2 linked regions of the Macaca mulatta genome follow. Each later gene encodes a partner of the first gene's protein in a complex. Links are inferred from orthologs where the notes say so. Each region holds a gene or a part of one and is shown on either strand. Other genes may lie near its edges.

Region 1 (3,722 bases):
TCGTACCATATCTGCCACAGCACATGGCCAAGCGTCAGGCATCATGCTGAGAGCCAGTGAGGCCAGTGCCACGCACAGCCGAGTCAGTACAATCTTGGAGCCACTGGCAAAGCGGGTGATCTGGGTGAAGAGCTGTGCCTTTAGGCTTTCATACTGGTCAGTGGGGATGTCACTCCAGTAGCGAGAGATCTTGATGTGAAGAGCACTGGCTCCAAAGTACTGGATCTCTGGTACCTTGTCAGGTTGCAGTAGCTGCCAGCTGAAGTGCCAGGCCTGTGGGGAGACCTGGGCCTGCATCAGCCACTTCTGAGCCAGGTTCTTGTTCTCAATGTTGGGGTCATAGTAGAGCTGGTGCAGCGCCTGCAGGACAGCACAGGACTGAACAGGTGCTGGCCACTCTGGATCCTGCCAGAGCCCAGAACAGAGGTGTGACTTGGTCCTGCAAGGGTGCTCCCTCTCCCTGACTGGGGGGCTGAGCAGGGAGAGCTCAGGGCTCTGCAGTGTTTCCTGGGCCTGGGGTCCTGCTGATATCTTGAGAGCCTGAACCTTGTTCATGCTCTACCATATCCTCTTCTCCTTATAGCAAAACATTATGGGTTCAGAGAGGGAATCTCCACAGGAAAGCGAAAAAAGAGGAAGCTGATCTCCCCAAAGGGGAGGCACTTGAGGGCAAAGCCCAGGTGGAAGGAACAGCTTCGCAGGGATGAAGCTAAGTCTGAGAAGGGCATGGAACAGCTTGAGGGGACTTGACCCTCCCAGGCACAGCTGCTCCCATCAACTCCAACAGCTCCTTTCAGCTCCCCCAGGATCATCCCTAGGTCACTCCAGATGCTGGCACCAAAGCCAGTGTGAAATCAGAGCAGGACTAAGACTTTTTCCAGGCAGCCCTGGGGCACAGATATACTGGAGGGGAGGGTGAGAACACTCCTCAGAGGGCACATGTCCAACCAACTGATCCAGAGAAGCCTTGGCCATAGCTGCAGCCCTGGCAAACACCTCGCCTAGTGCTCTCCACTAGCAGAATCCCCAGGGTCTCAATTCCAATGGGACTTTATCAAGTAAGAAAACAGTGAGATTTATCTCCCAATAGCACATGGAACAGTGCGCCACCATGCCAACACTGCCCTGCTCCAAGGGGTGGGAGAGTGTGGCCAGGACCCTGACCCTTAATCAGGCTCCATCCAAGTAGGCTTAGCTCTATTCGTACCCCTGACAGCCAGTTATGGCCATTGGCCCTTGTTTGGCCCCTCAGGGATGCCAAAGCAGACAGAAGAGATGCATCCTCATTATTTGTTATGGCAAACAGGGTTAAGGATAACAAGTGAGCATCTGCAATCATTCCCTGCTTTCAAGTAAGGGAGCCCTATCTCCCCATTCATCCCAGGGTGTATGCATTCCTGCATTTCAGGTTGTAGGGAGCAGATACAAAAAAGAACTAAAGAGGCAGTTCAGAAAGATGGGCTGGGCAGTGGGGGAGCCTGGGAGGGCCATGGCAGGGAGCTATGTGGGCAGGTGAGTAGGGAGGAGCCCTGTAAGGCTCCCAGCTGGGCCAGGACCCTTGGACTCAGCACAAAACAAAGGGAGACAGCCCCAGGCCTGCCTGCTCAGGACTGGTCTGGCTTCCATCCAATAAAGGAAGGACCCTTCTTCAAAGAGTCGAAACAACCCAGATTGTTTTAGTTCCAGATCATTTTCTGAGCCCTTGGCTCAACAAAATCAGGTCCAGGATGGTTTGGCATCAGGATAATTCCAGGAGACTGAGCTGCAGGTCTCCTGGGTTCCCAGTTTCCTACTGCACTGCTCATGCAGTTCCCATGGAGCTGGAAAATAGCCAGTCTGGATGGGAGGCTAAGTCACAGCACCCTGAAGGGACCATCCCAAGACCCTAGAGTATCTGTCCACAGGGGACCTGCCTGTAAGGAAAGACAAAAATAGCCCATTAGGGCACTGCAATACTGCCTGCCCAGATAGACAGCAAATGCCAGGTGCTCTGGGGGCACCATACCAGCGGGCACCCAGCCCAGGCCTGAGCTCTGCCATTAGTGACAGTCCCCAGAACTTCTGCTCTGTCACTGGAGTGCCCACCCCAGAGCCCTCATACCTTCTCCACGTTCTCCACAGTGAAGTCCAAGGCTGGTGCTGCTCCAGCCCCTGCAGCCCCCGGCTGCTCCTCCCGCCGCTCCATCTTTGCTCCCTCCCTGGCAGGGAGGTGGGCCCTGATCTGTCTCCTGCCCCAGCCCCTTGGCTGCTGGCCCCCTGCTAGACCCCGGCTTGGGTGCCCAGGGAGTGGTGGGGTGAGGGGGAGCCCAGGGCGGGCATGGCTGCCGAGGCCTCCCCACCTCGTTTGGGGGTGGGAGGCTTGCCAGAGGCCAAAAGGGGTGCTCTTAGGAGACCCAATGAAAGGGACTCCGAGGAGGGAGCCGTCAATGAGGAGCTCTCAGGCAGGGATCCTAGTGGTAGGTAACAGCTCTGTCCCCAGAATCTGTGTGGAGGGAGTCACTGGGGAGGGAGGCCTGCGGGGGAAACCAAGTCCCTGGCTCTTGAGGGGTCACAAGGTCGATGGCCTGTACCCACAACACCCCCGCCTGGGTGAGCTCTCGGGTGCTATGAAGAGGTCATGGGGCTGGAGGGTCACGGGGGAGAGAGCCCTTCGTGGTTACGGAGGCGTCCGACGAGGCGCGGAGATGCAGCTCCGCGAGTCTGGGGCGAAGAGTCCGTGGAGTTGAGGGGCTGTGGCAGGTCCCTTCCGTTCGGCCTGGCCCGCGCTGTTCTCACCGCCCCGCTACAGCCCAGCTACCGCCGCTGCCTCCGCCCCAGTGACTGACAGACAAGCCCGCCCGGCCGGGACGGGGCAGGGACCTCGGCAAGGCGCGGGCTGCCCCGAGCGCCTGTCCCCGGCACCGCAACTCAGGCCCCCACTCTCGCCAGTTCTGGCTCGGCACGGCCCGGCACCGCCCGGCACGGCCCAGCGGAACTGCGCGGAAACTCATTCCGGGTCTTTAGCCCTGTCCTCGCGCCAGTCCGCGCTCCCCTGAGCAGGCGGTGGAGCGGCACGCCGCCCCAGGCCCCCGCAGAGTCTAGGCCCCGCCGCTGTTCACCCTGGGAAATGTAGTCCATGTTGCGCCTAGCCGGAAGGCGGCGCCCTGCGGAGGAGGCCGGGAGCACGTGGGTTGGGGACCTGCAGAGCCCCGCCTGTCCTCGGCCTACCGCGGCCAGCAGGCATTCCGGGTCAGACCGGCGCGGGGCGCTGCGGCCCAACTGCTTAGTAGGAGAACGTGACTCGAGGGGCCCGAGGACGGAGGTGGGAGCCCGGGCTAGAGGGTGGAGGCTGGGGAGGTTGCCTGGTGGCTCTGGCGCTCCGCTGCGAGGGCATCCTCCGGCCCAGCAAAGGTGCAGCCTGGGAAGAAGGCGTCAGCACCACCCAGAGAAGAGGAGAGGGGACTTGGCACGCCTCAGGAAGGAAAAAAGGAAGGTTCTTGGGACCACCCAATAAGCAACCGGGAAACCACATACCATGGACAGTGCTCGGGGAATTTCGTAAGGTTTTTGGAAGTAACTTTATGTGTAACTAGAATAAGAGTAGCTTACATTTAAGTGCTAGGAGCAGGACTTTGCATACCTTAGGTTCAGTTTTCTTAGTAGCTCTGAGCTGGGTATTTTTATTCATCGTTTTCAGATGAGATGAGGAAATCGAGCTTGGGGAAAGTTAGGCTTATCTTGCC
Region 2 (3,746 bases), on another chromosome or scaffold:
GTGGCTCACGCCTGTAATCCCAGCACTCTGGGAGGCCGAGGCAGGCGCGAGTTGAGGTCACTAGTTCGAGACCAGCCTGGCCAACACGGCGAAACCCCGTCTCAACTAAAAGTACTAAAATTAGCTGGGCATGGTGGCATATGCCTGTAATCCCAGCTACTCGGCAGGCTGAGGCAGGAGAATCGCTTGAGCCCGGGAGGTGGCGGTTGCAGTGAGCCGTGATCACGCCACTGCACTCCAGCCTGGGCGATAGAGCAAGACTCCGTCTTAATAAAAAAATTAAAACATTGGCCGGGCGCGGTGGCTTTGGGAGGCCACTTTGGGAGGCCGAGACGGGTGGATCACGAGGTCAGCAGTTCAAGACCAGCCTAGCCAAGATGCTGAAACCCCGTCTCTACTAAAAACACAAAAATTAGCCGGGCGTGATGGCACGTGCCTGTAATCCCAGCTACTCCGGAGGCTGAGGCAGGAAATCGCTTGAACCCGGGCGGCAGAGGTTGCAGTGAGCCAAGATCGCGCCACTGCACTCCAGCCTGGGCGACTCCAGAGCAAGACTCCGTCTCAAAAAATAAAATTAAAATTAAAAAATATATATATTTTTAAAACTGAGCTAACCATGAGGTTAACAAGTCAACCATTTGTCAAACTGGGAGACGCGCGTTTGCTACAAAGCAGCAGAGGTCTGGCTTTAACCAGCAGCGAGCGCCACCTCAAACCGCCCTTTTCTATGACGCAGAGGTTCTCCCCCGCCCTCCCTGACTCCGCCTTTTCCCTGCTTGCGGCCCTGCCCCTCGCGTCCTCTCCGGCTTGCTGCGCACCCCCCCAGAACGCGTCTGCCTCGGCCCTAACAATGGGGGTCAGTCGGCCACGCCTGCGCCATAAAGCCTAGGGGGCGGGCCCAGCCGGCGACGGGAGGCGGGGAAAAGCGACGCAAGCAGTCGCGACGCCATTTGCTGCCGCCGAGCGTGGACGCTGGCGGATCTCTGAAGAGCTCGGTTGCGATCCTCTCTCGCGCACGCTGCCTAGCCTCCAGCACCTCCTTGGTCCCGCGCGCTCCCTCGTGTCGCCCCTCGGAGCAGCAACCGCCTCGGTCGCCGTTACCCGGAAAGAAGTCAGAGACCCCGCGAGGTCGCCGCCACCGCCATGCCCAAGAATAAAGGTAATGCCGCCCGGACCCCCGGACCACGGCCCTCCTCGGCCGAGTTTCCCAGGTCCTGCCCGTAGATTGCAGGTCACCCAGGTCGCAGTGACCCTTTTTCCTTCCCACCCTACCTGCCCGCGGCTGGGCGCCCCACACGCGACTCTGAGCTCGGGAGAGGAGCTGGGAAGTAAACTCCTGTTGCCCAGTTTGGCCACATTGGGGTGGAGCCGACGCCATTTTTGTAGGGCCTCCTGCGGGAGAATGGGCTTTTGCTCCTGATTCGCGCCAGACTGACCGCGGCTCGGTGGCGATGGTGGCGGGAACCCTACACCGGGCGGCCTAGGCTTAGTAGATAGGCCCATCTGGCCTTCCCGGGCATGAGGGGTTAATCCCTGGAAGCCGTTCTGAACTTTTAAAAGAGTGCTGTCCGCGTTCGTGAGCACCAGGTACTCCTGCATGGATCTCTTTATGGACAGTTCAGTATTGTTGAGGCTACTCGTTGTCCCTTGTGAACAGTGGGTGAAACCTTGATGCATTTCTAAGGCTCACTTCTAGAGATTTACTCTCTCCATCCCTTTACAGGATATAGCTTATGTTTGTTTGCTGAAGACTTATTCCATATTTAGCCAAGTTTTCTACTTTTGCTTCAGATCATGCATATGTTGTGAGAATAAAGACCTAATTTAAGTTTTCTCCATTCTGAGGCTAAGGATTCACAAATGATCAGACTTAAGGATAACTTTATTTGGGATTTCCAAAACGAAAGGCCTAATCTTAAAAAAAAAAAAAAAAAAAGGCGTAACACTTCTAAATAAATTACTTTTATAGATTTACAGTGTTCCTGTCATTTCTAATAGCCTTATAACTTGTTGAAGAAAATTGTGCAAGTAAATATAGGGAAAATATTGTATTTTCCTACAGGAGAGGAGCATACTTCATAGTCCATAAGTAGTCTCCTTTGATTATTCATTCTTAGGAAATCTTTCCCTGACACAGGCCTACTTCTGCTCTCTTTTCTGCTTGACAGCTGGCTCCAGGAATTCTACCACATTTCCTCTTTGTAGCTGTCACTTATTACTTTATCCCTTAGGGTACTTGGTCAGGGTGTTCTGTGCACAAGTTGGTGCAGTCCTCTCGGGGGCTCTCCACCTTGCTGCCCTCGGAGATCAAACTTTTTGTAGCAAGGATTTTCACTGCTCATTATTTTGGAAAAGATCGAGTTATAAACAAAAAATTTTTTAAGTCTTAGGTTTTCTTCTGTATAATCCTTTATTCTCTCTGAGATGGTAAGGGGATCACTTCCATCTTATTCTCACCTTTATTTCTAGTAATAAGATTTTCAATTCTTCCACCAGGCTGTAAGCTCTAAAAGGCAGGAATAGTATCTGTCTTAATCACATTCGATTGCTAGCACTTGCCACTTAGTAGATGCTCAATAAATATTTGTTGGTTTAAGTCACCTTCCTCCTGTCAACTCCACCCTTAGGTGAATAATAGGTTCTGCTTTGGTTCCAAGGGGATAGGACTTCTACACTAAATCACATCTAGTTCCCTAGCCTCATGTCTTAAGAAAGAGCCTCTCTGGGAATTTCTCCAAAACAACTCTGGTTTAAAGAATGTTGATGTCACTTTAATTGTTGTACACTCAGACCTAGTCTCATTCATTCAACAGAGAATTTAAAGAACATCCCATTACATGGCAATAAAATACAAAGGGGAATGATCAGGGTATGGTTAATTCTGGTAAGTTGACAAGTAATGAATGGTTTCTTAAATAATATTTGAGGCATACAAAAAATACAGCTAACATAATGGACCTGGGAACCCAGGGGTTTCTCAGAACCTGGAAACTCTGAATTTAAGAATTACAACGCAAATTGAGGTAAAGCCCTAATCACCTTTTACTCTCTTTTTGGAGGTTATCACCAGGCTGAGTTTGGTGTTTATCATTCCTGTACTGTCTTGAAACCAATCAGTTCTTAGTTATCTTACTTAGAGGAATGGTACTTTTCATGACCCCTGAATTTTTTGAGATAGGTTTTACTAATGTAGAAATAAAGTCATTTATTGTTCTGTTTTTCTGCATTGGAAAATCCAGAAGCCCTGTGAATATAAGCTGTGGTTACACAAGTAAGGGTAAAATTTGCCACATACTATGTGTTAAGTGACTTTTGCTTTGGATTGATTCATATCAACTTATTCTAGAAATTCTTAGAAACCCATCCTCAAATCAGGAAAAGGGGTATCATTTGGCCCACTTATAAGCATTTAGGGTATAGTGCTCCCACACTTTGAAGAAGTTACTGCCTATGATTTTTAACTCACCACTCCGTTAGGAATGTATGGACTATTCTTGACCAATTCATTTGAAGAATTAGTGAACTCAGGTATATAACTCAGGAAACAGAGCAGGTATGATCTTGCCCTAAAGGAGCTTGCACTCTGTTTTGCAGATCTGGCATGATTAATGGCTTCATACTTTTCTCTTTCTAGGAAATTAGTTTCAGTGTTCCCTAAGAATGCCTCAGATACTGAATTCTAAGGACTCTGAGCGGGTCAGGAAATTGTAGAGGCCCCCCTAAAATAGCACAGAGCAATGTGAGAC

The links. The genes of interacting proteins can lie anywhere in the genome.
Region 2: the proteins of IPO13 (region 1) and EIF1AX are in contact, whole or in part, in a crystal structure (PDB 3ZJY), measured with the Homo sapiens proteins. The link is inferred for Macaca mulatta from reciprocal best matches to the Homo sapiens genes IPO13 and EIF1AX. Residues at the interface, in NP_055467.3 of Homo sapiens: Tyr365, Asp369, Leu372, Asn936, Lys937, Arg938; in NP_001403.1 of Homo sapiens: Leu42, Arg82, Lys88, Tyr106, Gly107, Glu108.

Annotation. Positions count from the first base shown.
Region 1 is NC_133406.1:196,706,007-196,709,728, forward strand, and holds the start of IPO13 (importin-13), read right to left. Parts: upstream 2,823-3,722; 5' UTR 2,186-2,822; coding exon 2,102-2,185; intron 406-2,101; coding exon 1-405. UniProt on the Homo sapiens protein: Functions in nuclear protein import as nuclear transport receptor. Serves as receptor for nuclear localization signals (NLS) in cargo substrates.
Region 2 is NC_133426.1:19,873,792-19,877,537, reverse strand, and holds the start of EIF1AX (eukaryotic translation initiation factor 1A, X-chromosomal), read left to right. Parts: upstream 1-955; 5' UTR 956-1,143; coding exon 1,144-1,159; intron 1,160-3,746. UniProt on the Homo sapiens protein: Component of the 43S pre-initiation complex (43S PIC), which binds to the mRNA cap-proximal region, scans mRNA 5'-untranslated region, and locates the initiation codon. This protein enhances formation of the cap-proximal complex.